Anolis sagrei: one gene and its partner. The protein of the gene in region 1 purifies or fractionates together with the protein of each later gene. This does not show direct contact. Links are inferred from orthologs where the notes say so. Each region holds a gene or a part of one and is shown on either strand. Other genes may lie near its edges.

Region 1 (17,235 bases):
CGTTAGAAGGATTTGGAGATGATTTCTTCCTCCTTGCTCTTCTTTGTCTTCACTGTAATGGGGAGATTTTCAAGGGGATCATGATGCGGGACTCCATGCTCCGGACCAGAGGCACTGCAGAGACAGACAAGGGGGGGGGGGGTCAAGAGGGCAGGCCAGAGCTGAGCACCGGGGGCTTGGGGTGTGCAGGTCCATAGGACTGAGTGGGGGCCCATGTGGAATACCGGGACTCAGAAACAGAGGGCCGGGCTCATAAAGAGAGGACTCCGGGATCCAATGGGGGGGGGGTATAATGGAGGGCCACTGAGGGGGTGGATAGAAGTGGACCACAGCAGAGAACGGGGTCTTGGGTCAGAACACAAGGAACAGGAGGGTCTGATTGGGGGACTAAGGAGGGGTAGGCCTGGGGCCTAAGAGAGGGGGTGGAGTCTGAGAGGGGCGGGACCAAGGTCTCAAAGAATTGGACTAGGGGCGGGGTCTAAAGGAGGAAGCGGAAACATGGTCTGAAATTGTTGGACTAGGGAGCTGGGTCTAAAGTAGGGAGTGGGACTGAGGTCTTGAAGGATTGCACTGGGGGGGCAGGCCTTAAGGGAGGGGAGGAGCTAAATAGAGGGGTAGGCCTGGGGTCTAAGTGAGAGGGTGATATCAGGGTCTCTAAAGGTTGGAAGAGGGGGTATAATGGACGTATGGAGTCAAAGGGAGGAGGCGTGGCCTAGGGGAGAGGGCGGGATGAGGGTCTGGAAGTGTAGGACCAGGGGCAGGGCCTAAGGGAGGGGGCAGGATCTGGGTCTGAAAAGGTTTGTACTGGGGGCAGCATCTAAGGGAAGGGGAGGGTCTGAGGAGGGCAGGCCTGGCATCTAAGCGGGCAGTATCAGGATTTCTAAAGGCCAGACTGGAGAAAGGGGCATCTAAAAGAGGGGTGGAGTCAAGAGGAATGGGAAGGGTGGGATCAGGGCCTCAAGAGGCTGGACCGGAGGCAGCGTCTAAAGGAGGGATGGAGTCAAAGGGAGGGGGTGGGACTGGTGTCTTGAAGAGTCAGACCAGGGGTGGGGCCTAAGTGAGGGGGTGGAGTCTGAGAAAGGGGCGGGACCAAGGTCTCCAAGAATTGGACTGGGGTGGGGTCTAAATGAGGGGGTGGAATCAAGGTCTGAAATTGTTGGACTAGGAGTGGGGCCTAAGGAAGGGTGGGGCCTATGAGATTAGGCAGGATCTAAGGGGGGGGGGTAGGACTGGGGTCTGGAAGGGTTGGACCAGGAGCATGGCCTGCAGGAGGGGTGGAGTCAGAGAGAGGGGTGGGGCGGGACCAAGGCCTCAAAGGGTCAGAATGGGGACATGGCCTAAGGGAAGGGGTGTGGCCTCCCGGGAGGCCTGACCTGTGTAGTAGACGTTTTCATCCCAGCCCCGCTTCCTCCAGGCAGCATTTCGGGTCTCCTCTCGTGACTGCAAATCCCGATAAGCTGCAAAGGGAAGGAGAGAAGTCCCCTGACTTCCAAGACCCAGATCCCAGTCCTTGGGCCTTTGTGGTTGGGGGATATGGGGATTCATGGCCAAACTCAAAATGGCCACTCACCCCACAAGTGGTGGACAATGTAGAGCTCCCCAATTTGGGAGAAGAAGCCCCCCACGGCCTCCTGGTTCTCCTGGCGGTACTTTATGGCCCGGGCCCTGCAGAAATCAAGGTAAAGATAAGAGCGAGAGCAACACAGGTTTGTTTGCTTGTACCGCTAAAGCACCTACTTGGCTTTAAGGGATTGGGACCATAATGGCGCAGACAGATGCGTTATTTCCCAACTTAAATTTATGTCATCTTGCAGTCCCTCATTTAAACCAGTGTCAAGCCAGAAGTTTATTCTGCACAAGACATTTCTGTTAGAAGGGTCATGGATGTTCTGGCTCTTCTGGGGATTTGTCTATACCAGGGATCCTCAAACTAAGGCCCGAGGGCCGGATATGGCCCTCCAAGGTCATATATCCAGGCCTCGCTCAGGGTCAACCTAAGTCTGAAACTACTTGAAAGCACACAACAAGTACAATCCTTTCTCATCAGCCAAAAGAAGGCCCACACTTCCCATTGAAATACTAATAAGTTTATATTTGTTAAAATTGTTCTTCATTAAATTATGGTACTGTTTTTAAGTGGTTTTTGCACTACAAATACGTGCAGTGTGCATAGGAATTTATTCATGTTCTTTTGAAATCATAATCTAGCTCCCCAAGAGTTTGAGGGACTGTGTCCTGGCCCTCTGATTAAAAAGTTTGAGGACCCCTAGTTTTTAGAACACCTCTTGCTGCAGATATTAAGGCCAATAACTAGCAGTGTCTGTCCTAAGTGAACTGTTGACAACCAAGTATCAAAAGGCATGGGCTGGGTCAGAATTTACGCTGGCATATCCAAAGGAATCTCCCCTCAAAAGTATTGGGGAATGTGGAATTCAAAGACCTCTTTGGACAGGCATTGAGGTGATGAAACCTGTGAAGCAACAGATTTCTTGGTTTGAGTCCTGACGGTCTGTGTAATGTATTTAAACATTTAAATAAAAGTGATTTTCTGGAAAAAATATGGGTCTTTCAAGTATAAATAGACTGTGAAGAGATTGGTGGGTAGGTGGATAGATGGATATAGATAGATTAGTAAAAATTATGGATAGATTGGCGGATGGATGGCTAGCTAGCTAGAAGAAATTGTGGATAGATTAGTGTATGGATAGATTGGTGGATGGATAGATCGATAATACAGAATAAAAGGAGGAAAATATGCATTAATAAAGAAAAATATGTAGGAATAAGAGGAAAATCTGTATGTATATATATATATATATATAAAACATTATTATATTACATTATTATTATTATGTAGTCTTATATATAAGGTAAAGGTTTCCCCTTGACATTAAGTCCAGTTGAGTCTGACTCTGGGAGGTGGTGCTCATCTCCATTTCTAAGTCAAAGAGCCGACATTTCCATAGACACCTCCAAGGTCATGTCGGTGGCATGACTGCATAGAGTACTGTTACCTTCCCGTCGGAGTGGTACCTATTGATCTATTCACATTTGCATGTTTTCAAACTGTTAGGTTGGCAGAAGCTGGGGCTAACATTGGGAGCTCAACCCACTCCCTGGATTCGAACTGCCGACTTTTCGGTCAGCAAGTTCAGCAGCTCAGTGGTTTAACTCACCGTGCCACCAGGGGTTCCTAATAAAATATATAATAGTAATAATAATGATGATATTTTTGGAAGAGAGTGTTACTTACCAGTTATTTCCCCATTCAATCATGGTCCCAGGCTGAAAGCAAAACACAGAGGAATCGTTATTATTTTAGTAATTTTTGAAATCGTATTTTTCATCCACTGTTTGCTTACTTTTAAGTTATATGTCCGCAATTCGTAAATATTTGGCCCAGAACGAGGCAGAGGTTCGTTCCAAAAACTGAACTCCAGCAGCAATTGGTTCCTCCGAGAAAGCAGCATCTTGCTCCTCTCCTTACGGAATTCCAAATATTCCTAGAATGAATATAGAGATATATGTAGATATAATATATATAAGAATATAATTAATACATTGACTCATCATAATAAATTATAATAAATATAATGAACACATGGCAGCATCATACTGATATATATAATATGATGAATATATAGTTTTATATATATATATATATATATAAGCAATGTAATGAATACATTGCATAATACAAGTAATAAAGTGATATTAATAATAATAAATACAATGAATACATTGTGACTACAATACTTTGCATAATAATACAAATAATAAAGTGACAATAATAATCATCATAAATATAATGAATACATTATAATACCACAATACACTGCATACATAATAATACAAATATTAAAGTGATAATAATGTAATGAATACATTGCATAATAATACAAATAATAAAGTTATGATAATAATAATAAATATAAATACGACTACACTGCATGATAATAATAAAACTATTGCTATTTAAATTAATTAAAATAATAATCATCTTAATTTCAAGACCTTATTCTGTTTCAACTTGTTCATGGAATCCATCAGAGCCGGGTAGCCGCCTGAAAACCGCCAAAGGTGAACTGCAGAAATAATAATAATGTTGCAATAATAATAATAACAATATTAAATACACCATAATAAATACATAATAATGAACATATAATAATAATAATAATACTTTTAAGATGGTAGCTCATTGCTAATTTCAGTGGATGATGGGATATATTATCTCTCTTCCTTACCTGCTTGGTCCTGTTCGCCGTACCATGTATTCCAGTTTCCAACCAAATCGCAAGGATAATTGGCATCCAAGTGCAATTTCGGAAGGACTTCCTCCCTGAGGAAGAAAAGCAGGAAGAACTACATCTCCCATTATCCCCTTCTATAGGAGATGAGCAGCTGTAGAGAAGGGGGGGCGGGGTTACATCATGACCAAGAAACACAGTGTGGTTCTGGCTTCCATTAAAATAATAACAACAATATAATATTAAAATAATATTACAGTACAATAGTAATAATAACAACAACAATATTATAATATAGTAATAGTAATAATAACAATAATATAATAATATAACAATAATACTACTAGTAAAATAAGGAATATAATATAAATAATAAAATATTGAGCATAAATATTGCAGACTAAAATAATAATGTAATAATAATGAAATACAAAAGAATAATAACACTGTGATAGAACATGAATTCTTGCTTAATGAAATCCATTGAGAGGCAGACACGAGGAACAAGAAACGATATCAAATATTTTTAGAAATAAAATCTCTCTCTCTCTCTATATATATAGATATTACTATTACTATAGAGCAGGCATGGGCAAACTTTGTAACTTGGGGGCCGCATGCTAGCACTCCCTGACTGCTCAGTGATTGATGGATGGAAGGAAGGGAGGAAGGAAGGGAAGGAGGAAAGAAAGAGAGAAGGAAGAAAGGGAAGCATGGAAGGAGAAAGAGGGAGAGTGGGAAGGAGGGAGGAAAGGAAGGAAAGACGAAAGGGGAGGAGGAAGAAATAAGAGAAGGAAGAAAGGAGAGAAGGATAGAAGAAAGGGAAGGATAAAGGAAAGAGAGAAGGAAGGAAAGACAAAAGGGAAGGAAGAATGAAAAGGTGGAAGGAAAGGATGGAAGGAGAAAGGGAGAGGTAAGGAAGGAGGAAAGAGGGAAGGAAGGAAAGAAAAGTGAAGGAAGAAAGGATGAATGGGAAGGAGGAAGGAAAGAGAAGGGAGGAAGAGAAGGATGGAAGAAAGGAAGGGAAGGATAAAGGAAAGAGAAGGAAGGAAAGACAAAAGGGAAGAAGGGAAGGAGAAAGAGGGAGAGAGGGAAGGAAGGACAAAAGGGTAGAAGAGAAGGAAGAAGGGAAGGAAAAAGAGGGAGGGAAGGAAGGGAGGGAAGGATAGGATGGTTTGAGAGAGGAGGGCCTGAGAAAAGAGCCCAAGGGGCCACATCCGGCTCCCGGGCCTGGGTTTGCCCATACCTGCTATGGAGTTATATTCCTTTTTTTCCCCAATCGAGAGACTTACGTCAGGCTGTTATAAGCCTCCAAGCATTCGGGCTTCACATTGTGGACTGAAACAGAGAGAAAAAGCTATGAATAAATGCAAAGAGCAAAGCTATGAATGCATGTAAAGCTATGAATGAATACAATGACTATGAATGAATCTGAGTATTAATCAGATACTTGCATTGGATTTTATAGAGGTGGTTGGTTTCCTTTTTGGACAAGAGGGTGGAATGGGCATCCTTCCGAGGGTCCACCTTGTGCACAAAGAGCGAGCGGAACCAGCTACTTTCACCCTCCTGGGAATAATGCCTGCAAATAATATTAATAATAAAATAATAATAAAATATATTATAATAATATAATATATAGTAATAATACTGTTGCGATGGTATCTCATTGCTCATCCCAGTAGATGGTGGGAAATACCGTATATATATTCATGTATGTGTGTGTGTATATAGATGTATGATGACATTTCCATATATATACATGGAAAAGAAAGGAATAACAATTACAAAGGAAGCACTTTGTTATAGGCCCAATGAGGACCAGAGGAATGAGGCCAAGCTGTAATAATAATAATAATAACAATAATAATATATTAATAGATATTATTATTACTATTACAGCCTGGGCTCATTGCTTTGGTCCTCATTGGGCCTATGATAACAACAAAAGTTTTATATTATTAAGGATTATTATTAGTTTTATTAGTATTCTTATCGATATATTATTACATTGGGCCTATGATAACAAAAACACTTTTACATTATTAAGGATTATTATTAGTATTATTACTATTATATATGTGTGTGTCTGTGTATATATATATCAGTATTACACAAACAGAGACATATATATCAGCATTATTACTCTTATAATTACTAATATAATGTATATATGTATATATTGGTATTACTGTTCTTGAGATGAAAAGCCATCTGTGTTTTAGATGGATTAGGGATCAGCTGGTTTTCCCTGTAGTAGGCAGTAAGAGCACCTAGAGTTTCGGAGAACAGACAAGCATCCTGAGCTCTGAGGATCACCTGGGAAGGAATCCCACTGGAGCATTGCAATGCACTCAAATACCTGGGAGCCACTCTGAACCGTGCTCTGACCTACAAGGAGCACTGCCTGAACATCAAGGAAAAAGTGGGTGCTAGAAACAATATCATACGAATGCTGACTGGCACAACCTGGGGATCACAACCAGACACAGTGAAGACATCCGCCCTTGCGCTATGCTACTCTGCTGCTGAGTATGCATGCCCAGTATGGAACACATCTCACCACACTAAAACAGTGGATGTGGCTCTTAATGAGACATGCCGCATTATCACGGGGTGTCTGCGCCCTACACCACTGGAGAAATTACACTGCTTAGCCAGTATTGCACCACCCGACATCCGTCGGGAAGTAGTAGCCAATAGTGAAAGGACCAAGGCAGTGACATCTCCAGCTCATCCCTTGTTTGGGCATCAGCCAGCACGCCAATGACTTAAATCAAGAAATAGTTTTCTAAGATCTACAGAGACACTCGCTGAAACACCTCAGCAAGTGAGAGTCCAAAAGTGGCAGGCTCAAACCCAGAGCCTCAATTAAGGGCTGATACCCAATGAGAGACTCCCCCCTGGGCACACAGAAAACTGGGCGACTTGGAAGACGCCGAACAGACTGCGCTCTGGCACCGCAAGATGCAGAGCCAACCTTCAGAAATGGGGCTACGAAGTGGAATCCACAACATGCGAGTGTGGAGAAGAGCAAACCACTGACCATCTGCTGCAATGCAACCTGAGCCCTGCTACATGCACAATGGAGGACCTTCTTGCGGCAACACCAGAGGCACTGGTCAAAGGACATTTAATCAACTACCAAGTTTGCAAACTCTGTGTCTTTTGTATGTTTGTTTGTTTGTTCTGTCAAAAATGTAATACAACTGACACGATAAAAAAAATATTACTATTACATATGTTTATCAGTATTACTATTATTATTACTATTATATATGCGTATGCGTGTATCAGTATTATTACTATTATATACTATACATATGTGTGTATATATTTCAGTATTATTACTATTATATATATATACTATTACATATTAATATTATTAAGAATATTATTAAATACTAATATTACTAAAACTAATAATAAGTAATATAAAAGTATTGTTGTTATTATTATTATTATACTAATATCCCACTTTGGATAGGCGCCATATCCACAGATTCTGTAATATTCCCAGAATTGGAAATATTCTGAATAAAACAATAACAATGTAAAAAATAATATAACCATAATGGAAATCTATACTATAATAATATTATATTATAAAGTAATAATAAAAGCTAGGAATAATATAAACATAACATAAAATCAAGTAGAAATGCACCCCCATTGGCCTTGGGTGAAACCTTTGGCCTGAAGCGGGCCATTCATTAACTTTGATACAGAGAAAGGAAACATTCAAAGTATTGCAATATATATAAAATATATTTCTAAATATATTAGATATATTCCTAAATATATTAAAAGTAATGCTATATATAGCAATAATTTAGGAATATTAAATACATTCCTAAATATGTTCTTAAGTATATCACTTATATTCCTAATTATATTAAAAGTATTGCTATATATATTAAATGTATTCCTCAATATATTAGATATATTCCTCTATATATATAGAGAGAGAGAGAGAGAGACTGTATATATATATATATATATATATATATATATATATATATATATATATTCCTAAATGCATTCCTATAAAAAGGTAAAGGTAGTCCCCTGACATTAAGTCCAGTCATGTCTGACTCTGGGGTGTGGTGCTCATCTCCATTTCTAAGCCGAAGAGCCAGCGTTGTCCGTAGACACCTCCAAGGTCATGTGGCTGGCATGACTGCATGGAGCGCCGTTACCTTCCCACCGGAGCGGTACCTATTGATCTACTCACATTTGCATGTTTTCGAACTGCTAGGTTGGCAGAAGCTAGGGCTGACAGCGGAAGCTCACGCCACTCCCCAGAATTGAACCTGCAACCTTTCAATCAACAAGCTCAGCAGCTCAGTGCTTTAACCCACTGCGCCACCGGGGGCTCCATTTCTATATATAATACATATTCCTAAATACATTCCTAAATGGGTCCCCTGATGGCACACCAGGTTAAACCGCTAAGCTGCTGAACTTGTTGAGTGAAAGGTTGGTGGTTCGAATCTGAGGAGTGGGGTGAGCTCCTGCTGTTAGGCCCAGCTTCCGCCAATCTAGCAGTTTGAAAATATGCAAATATGAGTAGTTCAATAGGTACAGCTTCTGCAGGAAGGTAATGGCACTCCATGCAGTCATGCCACCCACATAACCTTGGAGATGTCTATGGATAGCGCCGGCTCTTCGGCTTAGAAATGGAAATGATCACAACCTCCCAGAGTTGGACACGATTAGACTTAATGTCAGGGGAAACCTTTACTTTATATTCCTAAATATATTAGATACTAAATACCTTGAAAGTATTGCTGTATTATATATATATTCCTAAATATATTAGAAATATCCCTAAATATATAATATATATTTATACAATATATATTATATATTAAAAGTATTGCTATATATATATTAAATTTATTCCTAAACATATTCCTCAATATATTACATTCCTAGATACATTAAAAGTATTGATATATGTATATATGTGTGTGTGTGTGTATAATCTATTCCTAAATACCTTAAATATATTAAATCTATTCCTATATATATTACATATATTTATATTATATAATATATATTAAAAGTATTGCTACATATATTACACCTGTTTCTAAATCTATTCCTAAATTTGTTGTTGTTCATTCGTTCAGTCGTCTCCGACTCTTCTTGACCTCATGGACCATCCCACGCCAGAGCTTCCTGTCGGCCGTCACCACCCCCAGCTCCTTCAAGGTCAGCCCAGTCACTTCAAGGATGCCATCCATCCATCTTGCCCTTGGTCGGCCCCTCTTCCTTTTGCCTTCCACTTTCCCTAGCATCATTCCCTTCTCTAGGCTTTGCTGTCTCCTCATGATGTGGCCAAAGTACTTCAACTTTGCCTCTAGTATCCTTCCCTCCAATGAGCAGTCGGGCTTTATTTCCTGGAGGATGGACTGGTTGGATCTTCTTGCAGTCCAAGGCACTCTCAGGACTTTCCTCCAGCACCACAGTTCAAAAGCATCTATCTTCCTTCGTTCAGCCTTCCCTAAGGTCCAGCTCTCACATCCGTAGGTTACTACAGGGAATACCATGGCTTGGACTAGGCGGATCTTTGTTTCCAGTCTGATGTCTCTACTCTTTACTATTTTATCGAGACTGGACATTGCTCTCCTCCCAAGAAGTAAGCGTCTTCTGATTTCCTGGCCACAGTCTGCATCTGCAGTAATCTTTGCGCCTAGAAATACAAAGTCTATCACAGCCTCCACATTTTCTCCCTCTATTTTCCAGTTGTCAATCATTCTTGTTGCCATAATCTTGGTTTTTTTGACGTTTAGCTGCAACCCAGCTTTTGCGCTTTCTTCTTTCACCTTGATTAGAAGGCTCCTCAGCTCCTCCTCGCTTTCGGCCATCAGAGTGGTGTCATCTGCATATCTGAGGTTGTTAATGTTTCCTAAATACATCAGATATATTCCCCAATATAGTCAAACTATTTGAATATAATTTAAATCTATTCCTAATACTATTGCCCAATATATTAAATCTATTCCTAAACATATTAAGAGTATTGCTGCATGTATGTAACATATGTGTATATAACATATATTCCTACCGGAAGCCCAGGCTAGAAAAGGAAAAGGCCGCTCTGCCCCGAAGAGCCTCCAAAACCAGCTTCCGCGTAGCAGCCATTTTTTCCCTCTCCGAACCAGGAGGCGAAGGAGGGCACGCCCCTTTATTTAGGGGCGTGGCTTGGTCTCAAGAGGGGCGGGGCCGCGAGGCCTTGCTTTAGCAACAAACGTCATTCGGCCTTTCTTCCTCGAGGGGGCGCTCTTTCCCAGCCAGCCAATTACAATGGCCTTTATGGAGAGGGCGGGTCTTTGGGGGCCAAATGGCAGGCGAACGCACCAATCGGAACACTCATTACCCTTTCCCTTTAAGACAGACATCTAACACTTCGGGTTTCGTTTGAAAAGCCGAGGGGGAAAGAGTTGCTTTCCATTTTCCCGCCTCGCAAATGGCGCCTCGTTTTTCTATCGGCACCCGGAAGTATAACACATAAGCCATCTCGTAGGCACCTCTATGTCTCCTTAAAATAGGATTCCAAAAGAAAAGAATTGCCCGCTCCGCCTCTTCGGGGGCGTGGCCTATTTTCCCTCCACAACCAATAGCAAACGACGAGGAGAGGCAACCACTAGGCAGCGTTGGGCCTCAACCCCGCCTCCTGAGGGGGCGTGGCCAATGCCAACCAATCGGGAGCGGGAGAGACGAGGAGTGGCAGCTCCGGCTCCGGCGGCGGAGGTGAGGGCCGATTTCTTTTCCTTCGGGGGGGCTGTTCCCCCTTCCCTCCCCCCGCGCTTTCAGGGGGCTGTTCCGTATACCCCCCCGCACCCCTGATTTCCCCCCTTTCCTTCCGTTTTTACCCCAAAACATGAGGGAAACGGCTTTCGTAGGCCTCCCTTCCCCCTCATCTCCTCTTAAGATTGGAAAAAAGCCGTTTATGCCCCATAAGTGGCCTTTTTTGAATCAATCAATAGATAATCGATATTTATTATATCCTCGAAGGAAAAGAAACTCTTCCCTCCCCCCATTTTCCCTATAAAGCTTTCTTTGTTAATAAACCAAGCCAGAGTTTGGCTCCTCCCTCTTCCAATCCTCCCTAAAACTATTCCAATCGATCCACTGATTGATCCCTTGTCCTAACTCTTCAATACGAATCATAGGACAAGGGTCTCCCAATACAAAACACTTTTTCAGTCAGTTGATGAATCAGTCAATGGATGGACTGATCAATTGATTGATTGATGGATTGATCAATTAATCAGTTAATGGACGGATTGATCAATGATCCCATTCATTTCCCTCATAGGACAAGAAAGACACTTCTTTACCCCAAGTCTCCCAAAAAAATCCCAATAAGTATCTCTTTCAATCAATTAATCAATCAATCGATTAATTGATCCATTGTCCCACCCATCCCTGGAGAACCATTGAACACAGGGGCGGCTCAACCCATTACGCAAAGTAAGCATTTGCAGTATAGTTGATTTTCCCAGGGGCGCTCTTGGGGGAAAATAGACCTTGACATATGCAAGTTGTAGTTACTGGGATGTATAGTTCACCTACAATCAAAGAGCATTCTGCACTCCACCAATGATGGAATTGAACCAAATATGGCACACAGAACTCCCACGACAAACAGAAAATATATATCAGTGATTGGCTGGGGTGCCACAATACTGTTTGCTTACCATTGAAAATTACCTAGGGCCGCCTCTGATTGAACAAGAAATTAAAACCTTTGTCACGATAATAACTCGTCTTTCAATCAGTCACTCCAATATAAACCAATGCTTCTAAACCAACTGACTGATCGATCGATCAGGAATCCCATCCATCCGTTCAGAGCCATAAAGACTATAGAAAGCTTTCTCAACCTCAATAATAACCTCTCTTTCTATCAATCAGTCCAACATAGCCTCTCGTTTCACCAAGGCCCCTGCATCGATCGATTGTCTTATCCCTTTGTTAAGAATTATAGGACAATAGAAACCCTCCCAATCAAAACCATCTTATCAATCAAACCATCCAATGTAGCCCCTTCCTCTACTAATATTTCCCCAAACTCTTAATTGATTGATCGATCGATTAATAATGAATTGATCAATCATTGTATCTAGCTGTTAAGAACCAATATAGCACCTTGCTCTCCCCCTCCCCCAAATCCTCTAAATCACTCAGACAACTCGGCAGTCAGTCAATCTGCCTATAAATCGATTGGTCAGATCAATTGATTAATTGATCAATTGTCCCCTCCATTCTTTAAGAACCATCAGAGAATAGAAACACTCCTTTCCTCCAATTCTTCCATTTAAATCATTCAACCCGCCAATCAATCAGTCTCTGAATTGATTAATTGATATATTGATCAATCAATCAATGTATTGATTGATCAGTTCAGAGACTGATTGATCAACTGAGCGATCATCCCAAGCATCCTTTAAAAACCATAGGACACTATTCTTCTTTCTCCAATAGCACCTCACTTCAAATCATTCAACCGGCCAATTAATCATCCAATCAATCATAGATCCATTTGTAGATTGATGGATGAATCAATCAATCTATACATCGATCAGTCGATTGTTCAAGTAATCCCATCTGTTCATTAAAAAGCATAGGTTAATAGAACCCCCCCCCCCATAAAAACCTCTCTTTGAATTAATATATCCAGCGTAGCCCCTCCTTCCGCCAATATTCCGAAATCATTCAGTCAATTGATCAACAACTGAGCAATTATTAGTCTAATCCATCTACTCAGAATATAATGCCTTTTCCCCCAAAACCTACAGATCGAAACATCTCTTTAAGCCAGTCAACCAGTCAATCAATCAATCAACTTCTACACTGATCATTTTGTCCGTCTTTTGAGATGTCCAGGGCCGGATAAAGCCTTCTTTGCCTCAACCCTCTGCCCATTCCAATGGATCTTTTGGGGGGCCCTTTGGCTGCCCCCCCTTGGCGCACTTGACTTTCCGGTGGGGCCAACTAGATCTCCCAGAGGCCCTGAAGATGGCCGGCGCCATCGCCTCCCGGATGAGCTTCAGCTCCTTGAAGAGAAAGCAGCCCAAGACCTTCACCGTCCGCATCGTCACCATGGAGGCCGAGATGGAGTTCAACTGCGAGGTGAGCCGGGATTTGTAGTGTGGCCTTGGGCCAGGATTGGGTTCTGTACAGGAAAGGGCCCAAGGACACTGTTGCATGGGTGCCCTTGGACATCATCTGAACGGCTGTGACTCAGTGCTGCAGGATCCTGGGAGTAGCCCTTTGTTTTTGGGATGTATAGTGCAGCCATATATAATTTCTGTACAGGAAATGGCTGGAATAACGACGAGGGTTCTTGTGCGAGAAATCTCCAGGATGGCCTAAGCCTAATGGCATTATGGGATTTGTCGTTGGGCAAGGCTGCAAAAAATTATTATTTATTTATTTGCTACATTTGTATACCACCTCTCTCAGCCTGCAGGTGACTCTAGGTCTTGGGAAACTACAACTCCCAGGGCCTTGTAGCATTACAGTGGCACTCAACTGTATTCTAGCAGTGTCAATGGCACCCTTGGACTACGGTAGTGATAGTATTCCAAGGGGCTTTGAGGCCAGAAAAGCCTCCAAAAACCAGACAGTCTCCATGTTACAAACACCTGACTAGTTAAGAACAGGGGTGCTGCAAAGCAAAACCATATATATATAGAGAGAGAGAGAGAGAGAGAGAGAGAGAGAGAGGTTGGATAGATCTTAGCTGCCTTGAGTCTCCATGGGGAGAAAGGTGGGATATAAATAAAGATTTACACATATATAGACACACACACACGTATATGTATATGTGTATATTTGGCTGGAGTTCCCCTTAAAAAATGGATGTGTTCTGACTTACATACAAATTCCACTTAAGAACAAACCTAAAGAGCCTATCTTGTTCAAAGCAACAAAGGGAAGGCAATTGCTGATAGAGTACGACTCCAATATCTGGACAATGTCCAATGGAATATGTCCCCTTAAGGCATTTTCTAGGTCCTCCATTCCGCCTCTATGGTCTTCCTGTGCAGGACATCCTTCATTTTTGCATTTATCAGTAATTTCAGTAGGTTTTGCTCTGATCTGTGGTTTCATTTGTCTCTTTCTGGCTAAATATGTCACCTCCCTCTAGGCATTTTCTTGGTCCTCCAGCACAATTCTGTGATATTCCTGCACAGGAAGTCCTTTCTTCATTTCCCCAATTCACATATCCACACAAAGTCTGGCCCACAGTACTCCACCTTGGTTCAGATGAGACACATATTGCCGGCTCTTTGGACAGCAGAAATAGCTTTTCATTTCAAAGTCATGATTGCTTCATCGCGCCGCAGAAGTAGATTAAAATTGTGTTGTGCGGCGGAGCTACATGGCTTTTTTTGTGTAGTCTTTGGTGGAATAAATGGAAGGGAAACTCGCAAACCCCTCTGTTATCTTCTAAAATACTTGGGCGCATTTACTAGTAGCATTTTTGCGCTGTCCCATCATATGTCCTCTCTAGTCATTTTCTAGGTCCTCCATGTCTACGTCTAAGTCTTGTCCTCTATGGTTGTCCAGTATTTCAGTAGGGTCCTCTATTATCCATAGCTTCATTTATTCAAAATACTGTACATCCTCTCTAGGCATTTTCTAGGCCGTCCATTGTGACTCTATGGTATTCTTGTGCCAGAAATCCTTAATTTCAATAGGGATTTCTGGGTAAAGGACACTCAACCTGGTGTATAACAAACATCCAACATCCAGTTTCTATCCCAGAAATGCGAGTATTTCCCAAAAATTTCATTTGTGAAATGTGTTTTCCCCCAAATTGTGAGTATTTCTCCTTATTAAGAGCCTTTGGTTTGTGACGCATTTGTTAATAAGGAACGAGTGCCTACTAATAGATCAAAAGTGGCTCATTCTGCTAAAATGATGCATTAAAAGCACTCATAAATGGCAAGTGTCATCACGTTTGCCATTTATGAGTGCTTTTAATGCATCATTTTGGCAGAATGAGCCTTACCTTCTTGTGAGTGCTTTTAATACACAGTGATTAATGATCTTTGTGAAGTGTCATCACACTTCACAAAGATCATTAATCACTGTCCAGTGGAATAGCATCCCCACAGTCATCTCATTTATAAGGAGGTCATCCATGTAGTTCAGATGCATCTTAACAAGATAAAGCTAGCGGAATATCCTGTGTATGGTATGTATGCTATGTGTCTCCCCGAAGTTCCCATAGAGACATGCTTGCAAATTCATCTCGGTATTTCCATAGAGTCCACAGGAAATGACCCTAGACCCCTCTCTAGGAATGTTCTAGGTCTTCCAGCAGGACTTCCTAACCCTTGGTTTTCTGCCGCAGGTCAAATGGAAAGGGAAGGACCTCTTTGACCTTGTCTGCCGAACACTGGGGCTCCGCGAGACATGGTTCTTTGGGCTGCAGTACATGATCAAGGACACCATGGCTTGGCTCAAAATGGATAAGAAGGTAAGGACGAGGCACTTGACCATTTGTTTTTATGGATCTGAATGTTCATTCACTACCTGTGTCAGGTATGAGACCAACAAATGAGACACGCGGCTAGAGAGAGACTGAGGATCCTTAGTCTCTCTCCAGACTGACATCTTTATCTCGTTTCCTGTCTCGTCTGTTTGTTTGTTACTTGTATCATTTATGATCCTCAAAAATGCAAAGAGTTTGAGGATCTATGAAATGGTGAGAATTGAATTGTAACGCTCAGTGTGCATCTTTACATTTTACTGTTCCATGGATCGTCAGCCTTTCTCCAGCCTCTTGTCTCATTTGTTCGTGTCTTGTGTCATGTGTGATACCCTAGACCGGAGAGAGACTGGGGAGTGGTGTGACCTGAATAGTAGTGTTCAGTGTGAATCCACACTTCTCACCAGTTCATAGATCCCCAGTCCCTCTCCAGCTTCACGTCTTGTTCGTTTGTTACTTGTATATATATGATACTCAAGAATGGGGAGAGACGGGGATCTATGAAGTGGTGTGAATCCAAGTGTAGAGTTCGGTGTGAATCCACATTTCCCACCATTTCCTCTCTCCAGCCCCATATATCCAACCTTGTATCTTGTTCACTAATTTGTTATATTTGTTATGTCAAATATGATACAGTATTTCAGACAGGAGAGGGATTGAGGATCTATGAAATGGTGAGAATCGAATAGCATGAATCCTCATGTCCGACTGTTTCACGAATCCTCAGTCTCTCTCTAGCCTCATGTCTCATCCATTCGTTACTTATGTCAAATATGATACAGTATTTCAGACAGGAGAGGGATTGAGGATCTATGAAATGGTGAGAATCGAATAGCATGAATCCTCATGTCCGACTGTTTCACGAATCCTCAGTCTCTCTCTAGCCTCATGTCTCATCCATTCGTTACTTATGTCAAATATGATACAGTATTTCAGACAGGAGAGGGATTGAGGATCTATGAAATGGTGAGAATCAAATAGCATGAGTCCTCATAGAATCATAGAATCAAAGAGTTGGAAGAGACCTCATGGGCCATCCAGTCCAACCCCATTCTGCCAAGAAGCAGGAATATTGCATTCAAAACACCCCTGACAGATGGCCATGCAACCTCTGTTTAAAAGCTTCCAAAGAAGGAGCCTCCACCACACTCCGGGGCAGAGAGTTACACTGCTGAACGTTGCACGGATCCTCAGTCTCTCTCCAGCTTCGTGTCTCATTTATTGGGTACTTATGTCAAATATGATATTTGAGACAGGAGAGAGACTGAAGATCTATGAAATACTGTGAATCCATGCCAATTTTGCAGGTCTTGGACCACGATGTCCCGAAGGAGGAGCCAGTCACGTTCCACTTCCTGGCCAAGTTTTACCCAGAGAATGCAGAGGAGGAACTGGTCCAGGAAATCACGCAACACTTATTCTTTCTTCAGGTACGTAGAGAATGACAGTCTCCATCTTTGGAGATCTCCA
Region 2 (16,355 bases), on another chromosome or scaffold:
ACTGCCATTGCTCAATGCTATGCAGTCACGAGAGTTGTAGTTTTACAAGGTTTTTTATCTTCTCTACTAGAGAAAACTGGTGTCTCACCAAACTAGAACTCCCAAAGTTCCGCAGCATTGACCATGTCAGTTAAAGTGGGATCAAACTGAATGATTTCTACAATGTAGATGCATCGGTGGATTCATAGAACAGAAGAAAGCTATGCAGCCTCCTTCTATTAAGGAGTGGCCAAGTGTCCTACTTTGCTTATTCCTTTATTGCAGTGGTTCTCAACCTGGGGTCCCCAGATGTTTTTTGCCTTCAACTCCCAGAAATCCTAACAGCTGGTAAACTGGCTGGGATTTCTGGGAGCTATAGGCCAAAAACATCTGGGGACCCCAGGTTGAGAACCACTGCTTTATTGGAAGGCACTCCTTCTTGAAGATGTTCTCTCTTTGAATGCCTATCTTATTCAATTCTGATGGAAGGTTTTTTAAAAAACCACCAGAAGAACAACTAGGAGCTTTTTAGCTGCTCTTTAGATAAGAACAGACTTAAGAATCATAGAATCATTGAGTTGGAAGATGCCTCATGGGCCATCCAGTCCAAACCTCTGCCAAGAAGCAAGAAAATTGCATTCAGAGCACCCCTGACAGATGGCCATACAGCCTCTGCTTAAAAGCCTCTAAAGAAGGAGTCTCCATCACACTCTGGAGCAGAGAGTTCCAATGTTGAACAGCACTCACAGTTAGGAAGTTCTTCCTCATGTTCAGGTGGAATCCCCTTTCCTGTAGTTTGAAGCCATTGTTCCACATCCTAGTCTCCACGGCAGCAGAAAACAAGCTTGCTTCCTTCTCCATATGACTTCCCCTCACATATTTATACATGGCCATCATGTCTCCTCTCAGCCTTCTCTTCTTCAGGCTAAATATGCCCAGCTCTTTAAGCCGCTCTTCATAGGGCTTGTTCTCCAGACCCTTGATCATTTTAGCCGCATTCCTCTAAACATCTCCCTTCAATTGTGGTGCCCAGAATTGGACACAGTTTTCCAGGTGTGGTCTGACCAAGGCATAATAGAGGGGGAGCATGACTTCCCTGGATCTAAACTGGGAAGAATGCATCTACAGCGCAAAATTAATAGTTTATGAACTTATCCTTTCCCTATGGCAGTTTTGTGATTGATACCATGTTCTGTATGATCCTGGTGACTTTATTTTGAGTGATTCATTGATGGTTGAGTGTCAGAACCCCGGGACATTAATCCAAACCAAAGCTTAAAAACACAGTTTGGCCTCCTTATCCACAGTTTCACTTATATACACTCCAAAAAACATTCCCTGCTCTTGAAGTATTTGTGAGCCTATCTACATACTCTAGTGTGGTTCTATAGTATGTTTCTGGCCTAAGTATAATCAGAATATAGGGCTCGTTATTATCCATAGGGGAGCCCCCGGTGGCGCAGTGGGTTAAAGCACTGAGCTGCTGAGCTTGTTGATCGAAAGGTCGCAGGTTCGATTCCGGGGAGCGGTGTGAGCTTCCGCTGTCAGCCCTAGCTTCTGCCAACCTAGCAGTTCGAAAACATGCAAATGTGAGTAGATCAATAGGTACCGCTCCAGCGGGAAGGTAACGGCGCTCCATGCAGTCATGCCGGCCACATGACCTTGGAGGTGTCTACGGACAACGTTGGCTCTTTGGCTTAGAAATGGAGATGAGCACCACACCCCAGAGTCAGACATGACTGGACTTAATGTCAGGGGACTACCTTTACCTTTACCTATTATCCATAGATTCAGGTAACCACACAGGGCCTTGAAAACATATGTTCTGTGGATATGCGGGTCATACTGTACTACTTTTTTGGATTATAACTCCCAGAATCCTGTTGGCAATATGGTTCTCCTGTTTTTGAGTATGCCGAAATATTAAAATAATTCCTCCTTCTCCTCTTCCTTCATTATCACTTTCCCCTTTCCTCCTCCTCTTCCCCGTTTTCTTCTTCTCCTTCTCCTCCTCCTCCTCCTCATCTTTATCTTTCTCCTTCTCCTCTTCTGCCTCCTCCTTTGCTGTTTGTATAGTAGGATCTAGGCCCCTTATGAAGCTTGCTTGTCAAATGTTTCCTACCCCTGCACTTACAATTTAACTCCTACAAGGATCTTTTTTGTGCCTTGGTGTGGAGCTGATGCAACACCCGCTCAGACTTCAGCATGCAGACCAAAGCCCTGGCAAAGAGACACAGACGCAGCTTACTGTTGGTGACAGGTGTCAAAGCTTTGGGCTATTCTTACATCTGCCATGGCACGATTGCAGCGAGAAATCTGTAATTCCATTTGATGGTCTTTTCAAGACACAATCCCCCCAAATGTTTGTCCGGATTACTCTGTGGCCATCCAGCTGTGAGAACGAGCGCTCGCTCACTCCATGTTCCCTTTGCCCAGTATTTTTCTTGCTGTCTTTTCCCCCCATTCTGACCTCATCTGAGCTTGGCACGAATCCAAGCAGCCGGAGAGATCTGCCTCACAGCATCCCCTTGTCAGAAACAAAAGAGGTCAGATTATTAAGGGAAAGAAAGAATTGAGCACCCTCCATCCAAATAGAGAAAACAGATGTGGAGCGGATCTTTATTTCGGGTGCTCTTTTCAACCGCGGCTCTGTACATTGGAGAAAGCGCACCAAGAAATGTGCTATAAATATGTACATTGGTCACCATGGCAAAGATTTCATCGTGCCTATTAATTAGAGGAGTATTAAAACAAGATTTCTTTCTGTGCCTAGTACCAGAATGTGATGAGAATAGGCTAGCTAATGGTGAGGATTTGCTTTAAATACTTCTTATAGATCAGTGATTCCTAACCAGTGGTCCTTGGACCACAAGTGGTCTGCAAGAACAAAAATATGGTCTGCGGCCTCACCATTACTACACCATTGCCATGCAGCAATGAGAGTGACTGGTCTCACAAAGCCCTCTTATAGTGCTGAGGCAATGGAGATGTCAGGAGGGGGGAGGCTGACTACCCACTAAAGATTGCTACTACTACATCATCTCTAGATTATTAAATATAGTTTTCTATGGACGAGCAGATGGCAACTACTGGATGGCATATGTTCTGTATCAGAAACTGGAGCTGATGTGGACTAGCCAATGCAATTTTCTGAATCAGCACCCCAAATAACCAAACTGAATCTAAAGTTGACCAAAAACTGATTCATTACCCTTTTGGTACTAATGTTGAAAGTGGTCCCTGGTCAAAAAAAAGGTTGGGAACCACTGTTATAGATGAAACTTTGCAAATGCTGTTGACTAGACCAGTGGTTCTCAATGTGTGGGTCCCCAGGTGTTTTAGCCTTCAACTCCCAGAAATCCCAGCCAGTTTACCAGCTGTTAGGATTTCTGGGAGTTGAAGGCCAAAACATCTGGGGACTCACACGTTGAGAACCACTGGACTACACAGTACATAATAAGGGGTGCATCTACAGTGTTGAATCAATGCAATTTGATACCAATTTAAGCTGCCATGGCTCAATGCTATAGAATTGTGGGAGCTGTAGTTTTACAAAGTGAACACATATCCCCATATCATGTCCGTCCCAACTACAGTACTGTCCTCATGATGCACTTTCTCCCGTCCTTAATAAAGGCTCAATCCCATTGTTCGCCCCTTCTAAGCTCACCTCTCAGACACATTCTTCTCCATTTACTTATCTCACCCAGGATTTTATCAATTTTATCCTTTGCATTTGGCCCGCCCACTGTGTTTTATTTCTCTATCAAGTTATTTTACTTTTGTTTATTTTATATTTTGTTATACTTTGTTATTTCATTTTTTTTTATTTTGAAGTATTATTTGCTTGTGTGGACTATTTTGCTGTACTGTAATTTTGGGTTTGGCCTCATGTTAGCTGCCCTGAGTCCCCTGTGAGGAGATGGTGGCGGGGTATAAATAAAGATGATGATGATGATGATGATGATGATGATGATTATTATTATTATTAGAAACACAACAAGATGAGTCCACAGCAAACAAGATTACTCTGCTGCTGTTGTATTGGATCACACGTCAGACACTTCCCAAGTGTCTAGGACTGTGTGATGTATTGGCAAATAATGTGTGCAGATCCCAGTAAGGTGGCCTTCTGCAGCTGGCAGATGGTAATTTTGTCAGCGCCGGTTGTGTTCAAATGCAGGCCAAGGTCTTTAGGCACTGCACCCAGTGTGCCAAACACCACTGGGACCACCTTGACTGGCTTGTGCCAGAGTCTTTGCAGTTCGATCTTTAAATCCTCATAATGTGTCATTTTTTCCAGTTGTTTCTCTTCAATCCTGCTGTCGCCTGGGATTGCAACATCGACAATCCATACTTTGTTTTTTAACACGATTGTGAGGTCAGGAGTATTGTGCTCCCAAACTCTGTCTGAATCCAGAAGTCCCAGAGTAGTTTGATGTGTTCATTTTCTGTAATCTTTTAAGGCTTGCGATCCTACCAGTTCTTTGTCTCAGGCAGATGGTATTTGTGGCACAAGTTCTAATGAATCATCTGGGCAACGGTGTTATGCCTCTGCTTGTAGTCTGTCTGCACGATCTTCTTGCAGCAGCTGAGGATGTGATCTATTGTTTCATCTGCTTCCTACATCTACATTTGGGATCTGTCATCGACTTTTTAATTCTGGCTTTGATGGCGTTTGTTTGTTTGTTGTTTTTGTTATTGTTGTTATTATTATTATTATTATTATTATTATTATTATTATTATGTTCACCTAAGAGTAAGCTGTGATTTGGGTCAAGAGAAGTTCATGGTAATATGCATTCTAGAACAAAACCACAGCTTGACACTCCAGTAACTGCCATGGCTCAATGATATGGGCTTATTGGACAGGCAGAGAAGCCTTGCAAAACGATCCCATGATTTCATAGCAGTGAGCCATGGCAGTTCAAAGTAGTGTCAAACTGCATTAAGTCTACAATGTAGACGCACCCTGAGAGAATGTGACTTGCCCAAGTGGGTTTCCATAGCAAAACAGAGATTCAAACCTGGACTCTAGCATTGTAACTCAGTGATCAAAATACTACACTATGATGGCTTTTCTACTAGGCAATTAAATAAGTAATTTTGTTCTACTGGAGAATGCCATTTGTTGTTGTTTGTTTCGTTCAGATAGCAAGAAACCTTGAGTGGTTCTTGTGTGGGCAAAGCACATTGTTTGTTACAAACAATTAAATGAGTCAGTCTAGTACATACACACTAAATCCAAATCTAATTGCTGTGGATGACACTGATATAATAATTGTGAGGCCCAGCATGAGACATTTCCAACAAAGCTTTGCTGTTTTCCCTTCTCCCTAAAAGAACCGCTTTCTCCATTCATTAACCCCCATCCACCTTCCATTTTTCTTTCTCAGCTGTCATTCTACATCCCACAATAACTAAACACCATCATTGGACTCTGTGCTATGGATGAGTCAGAGATTACACTCGCTGGATTTTATTATATCGATTTATTTCATATTCCTATTCCCTCTTGTTCTCAGCCACTATCCTTTTGGAAGCCACCATCTGTGTTTGCTGTAATAAGGACTGATTGAAAGCTGTGTCAAGGCAACCTTCTTCTGTTGCTATAATATTTTATCATTTATACAATAGAATCCCCATATCCATGGTTTCATTTATCCACATCTGACCAAAAATGTCCTTTCTGGGCATGTTTGAGGTCTTCCAGCCTGACTCTTCCTGGGCCAAATGTCCTTCATTTCACAATCACCCATGGTTTTGTGCATCCATATGAAATCTAAGAACATATCCACTGTGGATATGGGGATCATACTGTATGTATCTCCAAAATGTCTTTGGGTGCATCTGCACCAGTGGTTCCCAACCTTTTTTTGACCAGGGACCACTCTGACCAGGGACCACATGACCAGGGACCACTTTGAACAGAAACCACTTTGAACAGAAACCACTTGACCAGGGGCCACTTTGACCAGAGACCACTTTAACAGGGACCACTTTAACATGGACCACCTTGACCAGGGACCACCTTGACTAGGGACTTCTTTGACCAGAGACCACTTTGACCAGGGACCACTTTGGCCAGAGACCACTTTGGCCAGGGACGACTTTGACCAGGGACCTCTTTGGCCAGGGACCTCTTTGGCCAGGGACCACTTTGGCCAGGGACGACTTTGACCAGAGACCTCTTTGGCCAGAGACCACTTTGGCCAGGGACTTCTTTGACCAGGGACCACTTTGACCAGGGACCACCTTGACTAGGGACCACTTTGACTAGGGACTTCTTTGACCAGAGACCACTTTGGCCAGGGACTTCTTTGACCAGGGACCACTTTGACCAGGGACCACCTTGACTAGGGACCACTTTGACTAGGGACTTCTTTGACCAGAGACCACTTTGACCAGGGACCACTTTGACCAGAGACCACTTTGGCCAGGGACCACTTTGACTAGGGACCACTCTGACCAGGGACCACCTTGACCAGGGACCACCTTGATTGGGACCACTTTGGCCAGGGACCACCTTGACCAGGGACCACCTTGACCAGGGACCACCTTGACCAGGAACCACTTTGACCAGAGACCACTTTGATCAGGGACTACTTTGACCAGAGACCACCTTAACAGGGACCACTTGACCAGGGACCATCTTGACCAGGGACTACTCTTCAACATTAGTACCAATCAGTTTTTGGTCAGCTTTAGATTTGGTTTGGTCATTTGGGGTGCTGATTCAGAACATTGCATTGGATAGACCACATCTGTGCTAGCTTCTTCGATATGGAAGTGACTTAAGACCAAGGTGAGAAATTTCACCAAGACATAAAAACAATGGAAGACAGATACCAAGGAAGACCAAAAACACCAGTCCCTCCAAGTGTTTTGGACTTCAACTCCTACAATTCCTAACCACTTAAGCGGCTGAGGAGGAAAAGGAAGGGGCCTGAGGCTTGAGGAATTGTGAGAGTTGAAGTCCAAATCACCTGTGCCTGTGATAGGGGGAAACAGTTGCCAGTCTTGGAATCAGCAAGTCATATATTCCCAGAAATATGACTAATCTTTGAGGCCCCAAAATGCATGTTGGCTGGTGTAAGAAGTTGACTATTTCTGTATTGTCGAAGGCTTTCATGGATGGAATCACTAGGTTCTTGTGGGTTTTTTCGGGCTATAGGGCCATGTTCAGACCTCACTACCTCTGAGGATGCTTGCCATAGGTGCAGGCGAAACATCAGGAGAAATGCCTCTAGAACATGGCCCTATAGCCCGAAAAAACCCACAAGAACCTATTGACTCTGTTTTCCAAATCCAAGCTTCTGAAATCATTCCAGGGTTTCCTGGCGTAGATGCATCCTTGGTGAGGCACTGGATGCCTCTCAGGCTGGGGATGTGGGATGCCCCTTCCAAACCACAAGCCCTGGGATGCCATGGGATGGATGGGCAGCCATTAAAGGGGAATCCCGGCGCTGTCAGTGGAGAGCGTGGAGGGGCGCCTTGGAGAAGCCCTGGGCGGTGGCGAGGCGCGCTAGGACCTGGCAGGCGCCGGCCTCGGAGGGCGCGGCGGGCTTTTCCCCGGGTAGGATTACTTTGGGAAGCCGAGTCCCTGCTGCCTGGGCGCCGTAGCCTTCCAGGGACCGGACGGGGTTGGGGAAAGGAAGGAGGAGAAAGGAAGAGAAGGAGGAAAAGGAGGAGGAGGAGGAGGCAGCTCTGGAGACGTCGAACCCATGGGCCAAGCTTAAGACGCCGCGAAGTTGCTATGATTTGGGCAGGAGGTAAAAGAAAGGGGGGAATCATACTCCCTGGCATTCTGTTCATTCCGGGAGGAGGAAGGGGGTTCCCTTTGCCCCTCTTGCATTCCTCTTTTCCGCTTTTAGCCAAGGCGGGATGCCCCAAAGTGCGGGTCGAGTCGCGCAAAAGGCTGTCAAAGCGCCAAGCGTTGCGCGCTGGAAAAGGCTTTGCGCCATTCCTCGCCTCTGGTTTCCTCTCCTTTCCAAGCCTCCCCTTTGGGTTGGCGGGGCTGGAAAGAGGGGGAAATCCAGGGGAGGGTCGTGCAGAGGGGTGGGCAGCGGATGGAGGGAGGGTGGAAAAGGGGAACCCCATCCCCAGGTCTTGGGAGAGAAGCGCCCTGGCTGCCAAGCGGCTCCTTCTCTCTGCAGGCGGTGAAGGCGATGCTGGAGCTTGCCTGGCACTGTTAGGGCTTCTCATCCCCCTTTGCAAGCCCCTTCCTCCAACTTAGGTATTCCTCGCCTTCTGAAATGTCAACAAACTTGAGATGTGCCCTGGAAGAAGCTTCAGTTCTTGTTCTGGGTTGCTGTGAGTTGTTGTTCCTTGGGGAGGAGAGTTTGCCAAAGGTCCTCAGTGGGATTACTTTTCCAAAGTGCATCTATGTCAGGAATGGGAAAGCCTTTTGTTTTGGACTTCAACTCCCACCGTTTCTAACACTCTCCGGTCCCTTCCTTTCCTCCCTCACCCGCTTAAGTTGCTGTAGATAGAGAATAAATGGCTTGTGGAAGGGCTGTTGTAGGTTTTTCGGGCTCTACAGCCATGGTCTAGAAGCATTATCTCCTGACATTTTGCCTGCATCCATGGCAAGCATCCTCAGAGGTGGTGAGGTCTGTTGGAAACTAGGAAAAATATATATTCTATATCTGTGGAAAGTCCAGAGTGGGAGAAAGAACTCTTGTCTGTTGGAGATAGGTGTGAATGTTTTAACGTTGATTAGCATTTGATGGCCTGGCAGTTTTTAGGAGTGACCTTTTACTGCCTGGGAGAATCCTTTGTTGGGAGGTAATTAGGTGTTTCTGGTTGTTTCTTGTCTGAAGTTCCCCTGTGTTCTTTATTTACTGTTATAATTTTAGAGTTTTTTTAATACTGGTAGCCAGATTTTGTTCATTTTCATGGTTTCTTCCTTTCTTGTGGATTTTAATGGCTTGTGGAAGGCTTTCATGGCCACAATCATTAGGTTGCTGTGAGTTTTATAGGCTATATGGCCGTGTTCCAGAATCATTCTCTCCTGATGTTTTGCCTGCATCTATGACAGGCATCCTCAGAGGTTGTGAGGTCTGTTGGAAACTAGGAAAATGGGGTTTATATATCTGTGGAATAATGTCCAGGGTGGGAGAAAGAACTCTTGTCTACCTGAGGCAAGTGTGAATGTTTACAGAAAACATACACCTTATAGATATCTACATAAAGACTCCAACCATCATCCAAGTCCAAAAAAGAAGCACAATTAAAGCACTGGCAAAATGAATCTGCAAACCCCACCTCCTCCCAAGGTGAACCAAGCCACCTAAACTGGGCTCTACAGGCCAATGGAGACTCCACTACAGACATCAGAAGAGCTGCAAGGCCATGAACAAGCCACCAGAATAAAGATGAAGATCTACCCAGAGGAAAAGTGTTCTTACCATACATCAAGGGAACCACTGACCACATAGGAAAGCTGATGAAGAAACACAATCTGCAAATGATCTACAGACCCACTAAGAAAATCCAACAAATGCTACGTTCAGCAAAGAACAAGAGGGATCCTCTCACTTCTGCAGGAGTCTACTGTATACCATGCAACTGTGGGCAAGTCTACATAGGGACCACCACACAGCAGCATTGTCCAAACACAAATTAAAGAAAAGGAAAGGCAGACTAATCCAACTAGAGAAACCAGCCATAGCAAAGCACTTGATGAACTAACCTGAACACAGCATATTATTTGAGAACACAGAAATGCTGGACCACTCTCACAACCACCATGTCAGACTACACAGAGAAGCCACTGAAATCCACAAGTATGTGGACAATTTGAACAGAAAGGAGGAAACTATGAAAATGAACAAAATCTGGCTACCAGTATTAAAAAACATTATAACAGTAAATAAAGAACAACACTAAAAAAAAACAGGGAAATTCCACACAGGAAATAATTGGGGTTAGCTAATCACTTCCCAGCAAAGGATTCCCCCAGGAAGTAAGAAGCCAGACCTTGAAACTGCTAGGCTATTAAATGCTAATCAAGGCAGCCAACTGCAACATTCACACCTGCCTTAAACAGACAAGAGTTCTTTCTCCCACCCTGGATATTCCACAGAAATATAACCCAAATTTTCCTGGTTTTCAACAGACCTCACAACCTCTGAGCATGCCTGCCATAGAGGCAAGCAAAATGTCAGGAGAGAATGCTTCTGGAACATGGCCATACAGCCTGGAAAATGCACAGCAACCCAGAATAAATGCCCTTTGACACCACTTTAACATCCCAGCCTCAGTGCTATGGAATCATGGAACTGCTGTAAGAGGGAGAACTGACTATAAATGAAGAAACCCATATTTTGTTCGATTCTAAAATGCAATCCATTGTAAAACTCACACACATTTTAGTACCACCAACAGAAATCTGTACATACTTTCACGATCCCATTGCACTGAGCCATGACAGTCAAAGTGGTGTCAAACTGCACTCCTCCTAAGGTGCAGATGAACCTTTAGAACACCCTCTGGAATTGCAATAAGACCACAGACCATTTGAAGACATACTCTGTAGTCTAAACTTGTTTGCAGACTTCTTGCTATTTCGGTTTGTCAGGACGAATCAATAAATCAAGGGTGGAGAAATGGGAGAGGGAGGGCTATTTCTGGAATTAAGTAAAGAAAGCAAAAATAAATCCCAACACTGTTGTCACCTGCTAGGAAGAAAGTGATGGCCAGTGGGGAAGATAATAATTATAGGTTGAGAGTAGTCTTCAAAAAGTTTTCATAACTGTCCTGTGTATTATTCAAGACGTACTGCTATGTTGTTGGTAATTAATGTCTATAAGCTGTTGTGGCCTAGTGGTTTCAGTTTGAATTCCTGCTTGGCCCTGGAAACTCACTGGGTGAGCTTGAGCACGTCACCGTCTCTCTTTTACAGATGAAGGCAGTGGCAAACCAGAAGCATTCTCTCTTGACGTTTCGCCCACATCTGTGGCAGGCATCCTCAGAGGTTGAGGAGTCTATTGGGAACTAGGCAAGTGGGGTTTATATAGCTGTGGAATGACCAGGTGGGAGAAAGAACCCTTGTCTGTTGGAGGCAGGTGTGAATGTTGCAATTGGCCATCTTGATTAGCATTGAATGGCCTTGCTGCTTCAAAGCCTGGCTGCTTCCTGCCTGGGGGACTCCTTTGTTGGGAGGTGTTAGCTGGCCCTGATTGTTTCATGTCTGGAATTCCCCTGTTTTTTAGTGTTGTTCTTTATTTACTGTCCTGATTTTTTTAAAATACTGGTAGCCAGATTTTGTTCATTTTTATGGTTTCCTCCTTTCTGTTGAAACTGTCCACTGCGTGTGGATTTCAGTGGCTTCTCTGTATAGTCTGACATGGTGGTTGTTAAAGTGGTCCACCATTTCTGTGTTCTCAAACAATATGCTGTGTCCAGTTTGGTAAATAATTATGGGTATTACTAGTTAAAAATGAGGAAAGTACTACCTTTTTATTGTTTGGTAACCATGAAAAGCAAAGACAGACAGTATGGTCTAGTTGGTTTTAATGGCAGACTGGCTGTCAGAATTAAAATCTCTGCTCAGCCATGGAAACCTGCTGAGTGACCTTGGTCGCATCACACTCTCTCAGCCTCAGAGGAAGGCAAACACCCTATGAACTAATTTTTGTTCACAATTTTCTGCACTAAGGATGCCTGAGGACCTGCTGTGGTGCAGCTAGATGATAGCTGTTCCTCATGTTCCATCTGAACATGAGGAAGAACTTCCTGACTGTGAGAGCCATTCAGCAGTGGAACTCTCTGCCCCGGAGTGTGGTGGAGGCTCCTTCCTTGGAAGCTTTTAAACAGAGGCTGGATGGCCATCTGTCAGGGGTGATTTGAATGCAACATTCCTGCTTCTTGGCAGGGGGTTGGACTGGATGGCCCATGAGGTCTCTTCCAACTCTTTGATTCTATGATTCTATGATAGCTAGCTGCATTAAATCACTACTGACTGAGAGGTCATGAGTTTGAAGCAAACCCAGGTCGAAGTGAGCTTCTGGTCATTAGTCTAGCTTGCTGTCAACCTTTGCAACCCAAAAGATAGTTGTATCTGTCAAGTAGGAAATTTAGGTACCGCTTTATGCAGGAAGGTTAATTTAACTAATTTATGATGCCATAAAACCTTCCAACAATGTGCAAACCTTCCAATAAATGACTCGGTGTCAAAAGTGGAAGGTGAAGCGGCAGCTCCCGCTGTGGTCAGAATCGAGCATACCCTCATGAAGCTGGAAAAATCTGGAATGTTGAATGGCATTGAATATTTGCCATTTATATGTTCATTATAATCTACCCTGAGTCCACTGCAAGGTGAGAAGGGTGGAATATACATACTGTAAATAAATAAATAAGGATGGCCATAGAATGGAAACGACAGGTTGTCATTATTCAGAAATGACTGAAAGGTCTACAAACCAAGAATGCAAAGATCATATAATTTTGCTTGTCGCAGTTGCATGAAGATATGAGGTTGGAGGAAGTGTGAGTTCTCAGTCATTATTATCAAAGCCTAGCATCCTCTTAGACCGCTGCTACATGCTACTGTTCGTACATTGTGCCACTCTTTTAGAAGAGATTGTTTTAGCATTTGAAGATTGCTTTCGTCCCTGCTTCACTTGCAGTGCAGATATCGTTTCAGGTCTCAGAAATAGTTTTATCATATAATGAGATTTTCCTCTGACTGCATGGACAATAAATTCAGGACTAAATTTGATTGATTCCCCAGTTGTCAGAGCTACAGTGCAAGACCTGAATAGGTCCACTCAAACATAGGCCCTCCTGATTTCAGTGGGGTTTACTCCCCGGTGAGGGAAGACAGACAAGCTATTGTACATTTTCCATAAAGAAGTCGCTCTATAGGAAAATGTAACAGTCGTACTCAGTACATAGGAATGGCAAGGATGTGTGCGTAATTTCCTCAACAGGATTTCATAGTACTGCTAAAGTGCCATGCTGTTCTTCCAGTAGCTTTATCTCTTATTCTAGGATGCAAATAAGAATCTGTATATGTCTCCTCAGTCAAGAGAAAAATGTACTCTTTCCATGCACAGATTGTCTCATCTTTTGAACCTAGTGCCATTCAGAAATTGTAAAGTTCTTTAGTACCAGGATACTGAATGTGTAGCTCTCTAGAGCAGCATTTCATAACCTGGGGGTCACGAGGGGGTGTCAGAGGGGTTGCCAAAGACCATCAGTAAACACAGTATTTTCTGTTGGTCATGGGGGTTCTGTGTGCCAAGTTTGGCTCCATTCTCTCATTTGTGGGGTTCAGAATGCTCTTTGATTGTAGGTGAACTGTCAATCCCAGTAACCACAACTCCCAAATGTATATTTTACCCAAACTCCACCAGTGTTTATGTTTGGGCATATTGAGTATTCCTGCCAAGTTTGGTCCAGATCCTTCCTTGTTTGAGTCCACAGTACTCTCTGGATGTAGGTAAACTGCAACTCCAAAACTCAAGGTCAATACCCACCAAACCCTTCCAGTATTTTCTGTTGGTCATGGGAGTTCTGTGTGCCAAGTTTCGTTCAATTCCATCATGGGTGGAGTTCAGAATGCTCTCTGATTGTAGATTAATTATAAATCCCAGCAACCACAACTCCCAAATGACAAAATCAATTCCTCACAATCCCGCCAGTATTCAAATTTGGGCATATTCAGTATTTGTGCCAAATTTCATCCAGTGAATGAAACTACATCCTGCAGATCAGATATTTACATTACAATTCATAATAGTAGCAAAATTACAGTTATGAAGTAGCAACAAAAATAATTTTGTGGTTGCGGGGTCACCACAACATATGGAACTGTATGAAGGGGTCACGGCATAAGGAAGGTTGAGAACCACTGAGCTAGACTATCAGAAAAGCTGCTTTGGAGTCCTGTGCTGGGAGAAAACTTCAAAATTCAGAGGAGGCAACTACATAACTGCACAGAATCAGACTAGGGGGTACCAAAGAAAAGGTTCATTACCATATCAACCACTCCCTAATGCAAGGGTGCGGAACCTATAATCCTCTGAATGTTGAACCATTCTCATCTGCATACATATACACACAGGTGAACTCTAAATCTCAGCAACTAGAAGGGTGCAAGCTTGTTTTCTGCTGCCCTGGAGACTAGGACACAATGGAACAATGGCTTCAAACTACACCCGAACATGAGGAAGACCTTCCTAACTGTGGGAGCTGTTCAGCAGTGGAACTCTCTGCCCTGGAGTGTGGTGGAGGCTCCTTCTTTGGAGGCTTTAAGCAGAGGCTGGATGGCCATCTGTCAGGGGTGCTTTGGATGCTATTTTCCTGCTTCTTGGCAGGGGGTTGGACTGGATGGCCCATGAGGTCTCTTCCAACTCTATGATTTTATGAATGAGAAAAAGTTCTAATTTAGATGACTCACATAAGCCAAAAGATGGGTAGATAGCCCAGTGATCTAACGTGGGATAACATTTTCATTCACATGTGTTCACTCTATATTGGTCATGGATACAGGCAGCCCTCCATAATCATGGACTATGTCCACAGATTCAACCAACCATGGTTTGAAAATATCTGGGGTAAAATTCCAGATTCAACCAACCATGGTTTGAAAATATCTGGGGTAAAATTTTTGCCACGAGGGAAGCACTACACCAATGTCTAAGTATATCCTGCTGTGGCCTCATCCAATTTCACAGATCCGCATACTGCCTCTACTATTCATTTGAGCTGTTCGTGTTTTTATATAAGGAATGCCATTGTGTGATGCCATTGTATATAATGGGACCTGAGCCTCTCCAGATTTGGACATCCAGGGGGTCCTTGAACTAAAGCACAATAGATACCAAGGAACCACTGTACTTGATTTCTGCTGTGACACTTCAAGTACAAATGTGTACCATGACAATGTGCTGATTCCTGGCCAACAGCAACAATCTCTGTAATTTTCCCCCTGGTTTCACATCCTGCGATGGGGGGATTACAAAAGTAACATTCTGGCTAGGCCTGTAAAACTCTGGCCAGAAGGCAAACATACCTGTGGAGTGATATGTGATTATACCAGTTGAGTTGGATTGCTTGTTTAATGTCAGACACATTTCAGAAATCCTGTAGTTTCCAACAGACATATACCTTCCTACAGAAATGAAACAGGACTTGTAATCACTTCCTAAAATGTATTCCAACGAGCGAGCCATAGGGAGCTTGGATCAACTCAACATAGACTTGTACATGTCTGCTCAGAAGACCCATTGAATTAAATGAGATTTACTCCTTAGAGCAGTGTGTCTCAACCTTCCTTATGCCACAACCCTTTAATACAGTTCCTCATGTTGTGGTGACCCCCCAACCATATTTTTGTTGCTACTTCATAACTATAATTTTGCTACTGTTATGAATTGTCATGTAAATATCTGATATTTACATGGTTATGAGGGCTACATGGTATCGCCAGTAGTAGTGGCGACACCAGCTTGAGGACAGAAACAGAAGAGTTCATTTGCACTCACATCCTGCTTGTGAAATCCCCCATAGGTCTCTAGGGATGTTTCACACTACAGAATTATTGTTGTTGTTCATTCATTCAGTCATTTCTGACTCTTTGTGACTTTATGGACCAGTCCACACCAGAGCTCCCTGTTGGCAGTCACCACCCCCAGCTCCTTCAAGGTCAATCCAGTCACTTCAAGGATACCATCCATCCATCTTGCCCTTGGTCGGATCCTCTTCCTTTTTCCTTCCATTTTCCCCAGCATAATTGCCTTCTCTAAGTTTTCTTTCTTCTCATGATGTGGCCAAGGTACTTCATCTTGGCCTCAACTATCCTTCCCTCCAATGAGCAGTCAGGCTTTATTTCTTGAAGTATGGACTGATTGGATCTTCTTGGGGTCCAGGGCACTCTCAGAGCTTTCCTCCAACACCACAGTTCAAGAGCATCTCTCTTCCTTTGCTCAGCCTTCCTTATGGTCCAGCTCTCACATCCATAGGTTACTACGGGGAATACAATTGCTTTCACTATGCGGATCTTTGTTGCCAGTGTGATGTCTCTACTCTTCACTATTTTATCAAGATTGGACATTGCTCTCCTCCCAAGAATTAAGTGTATCCTGATTTCCTGGCTGCAGTCTGTGTCTGCAGAAATCTTTGCACCTAGAAATACAAAGTCTGTCACTGCCTCCACATTTTCTCCCTCTATTTCCCAGTTATCAATCATTCTTGTTGCCATAATCTTGGTTTTTTTTTATGTTTAGCTGCAACCCAGCTTTTGCGCTTTCTTCTTTCACCTTGATTAGAAGGCTTCTCAGCTCCTCCTCGCTTTCGGCTATCAAAGTGGTATCATCTGCATATCTAATGTTGTTAATGTTTCTTCCAGCAATTTTCACCCCAGCCTT

Evidence for each region.
Region 2: the proteins of NF2 (region 1) and AMOTL1 purify together in Homo sapiens (affinity purification with mass spectrometry; 6 studies listed by BioGRID and IntAct, counting the BioPlex papers as one, with this or other methods). This does not show direct contact. The link is inferred for Anolis sagrei from reciprocal best matches to the Homo sapiens genes NF2 and AMOTL1.

The regions. Positions count from the first base shown.
Region 1 is NC_090034.1:48,735,612-48,752,846, forward strand, and holds the start of NF2 (merlin), read left to right. Parts: upstream 1-10,919; 5' UTR 10,920-10,949; coding exon 10,950-11,009; intron 11,010-13,140; exon of another isoform or gene 13,141-13,148; coding exon 13,149-13,394; intron 13,395-15,627; coding exon 15,628-15,753; intron 15,754-17,072; coding exon 17,073-17,195; intron 17,196-17,235. Other genes in the region: NIPSNAP1 (protein NipSnap homolog 1), read right to left, coding at 50-114, 1,374-1,457, 1,571-1,665, 3,254-3,285, 3,363-3,503, 4,015-4,085, 4,248-4,342, 5,543-5,588 and 2 more. UniProt on the Homo sapiens protein: Probable regulator of the Hippo/SWH (Sav/Wts/Hpo) signaling pathway, a signaling pathway that plays a pivotal role in tumor suppression by restricting proliferation and promoting apoptosis.
Region 2 is NC_090023.1:19,888,162-19,904,516, forward strand, and holds the start of AMOTL1 (angiomotin-like protein 1), read left to right. Parts: upstream 1-7,351; 5' UTR 7,352-7,366; coding exon 7,367-7,751; intron 7,752-16,355. UniProt on the Homo sapiens protein: Inhibits the Wnt/beta-catenin signaling pathway, probably by recruiting CTNNB1 to recycling endosomes and hence preventing its translocation to the nucleus.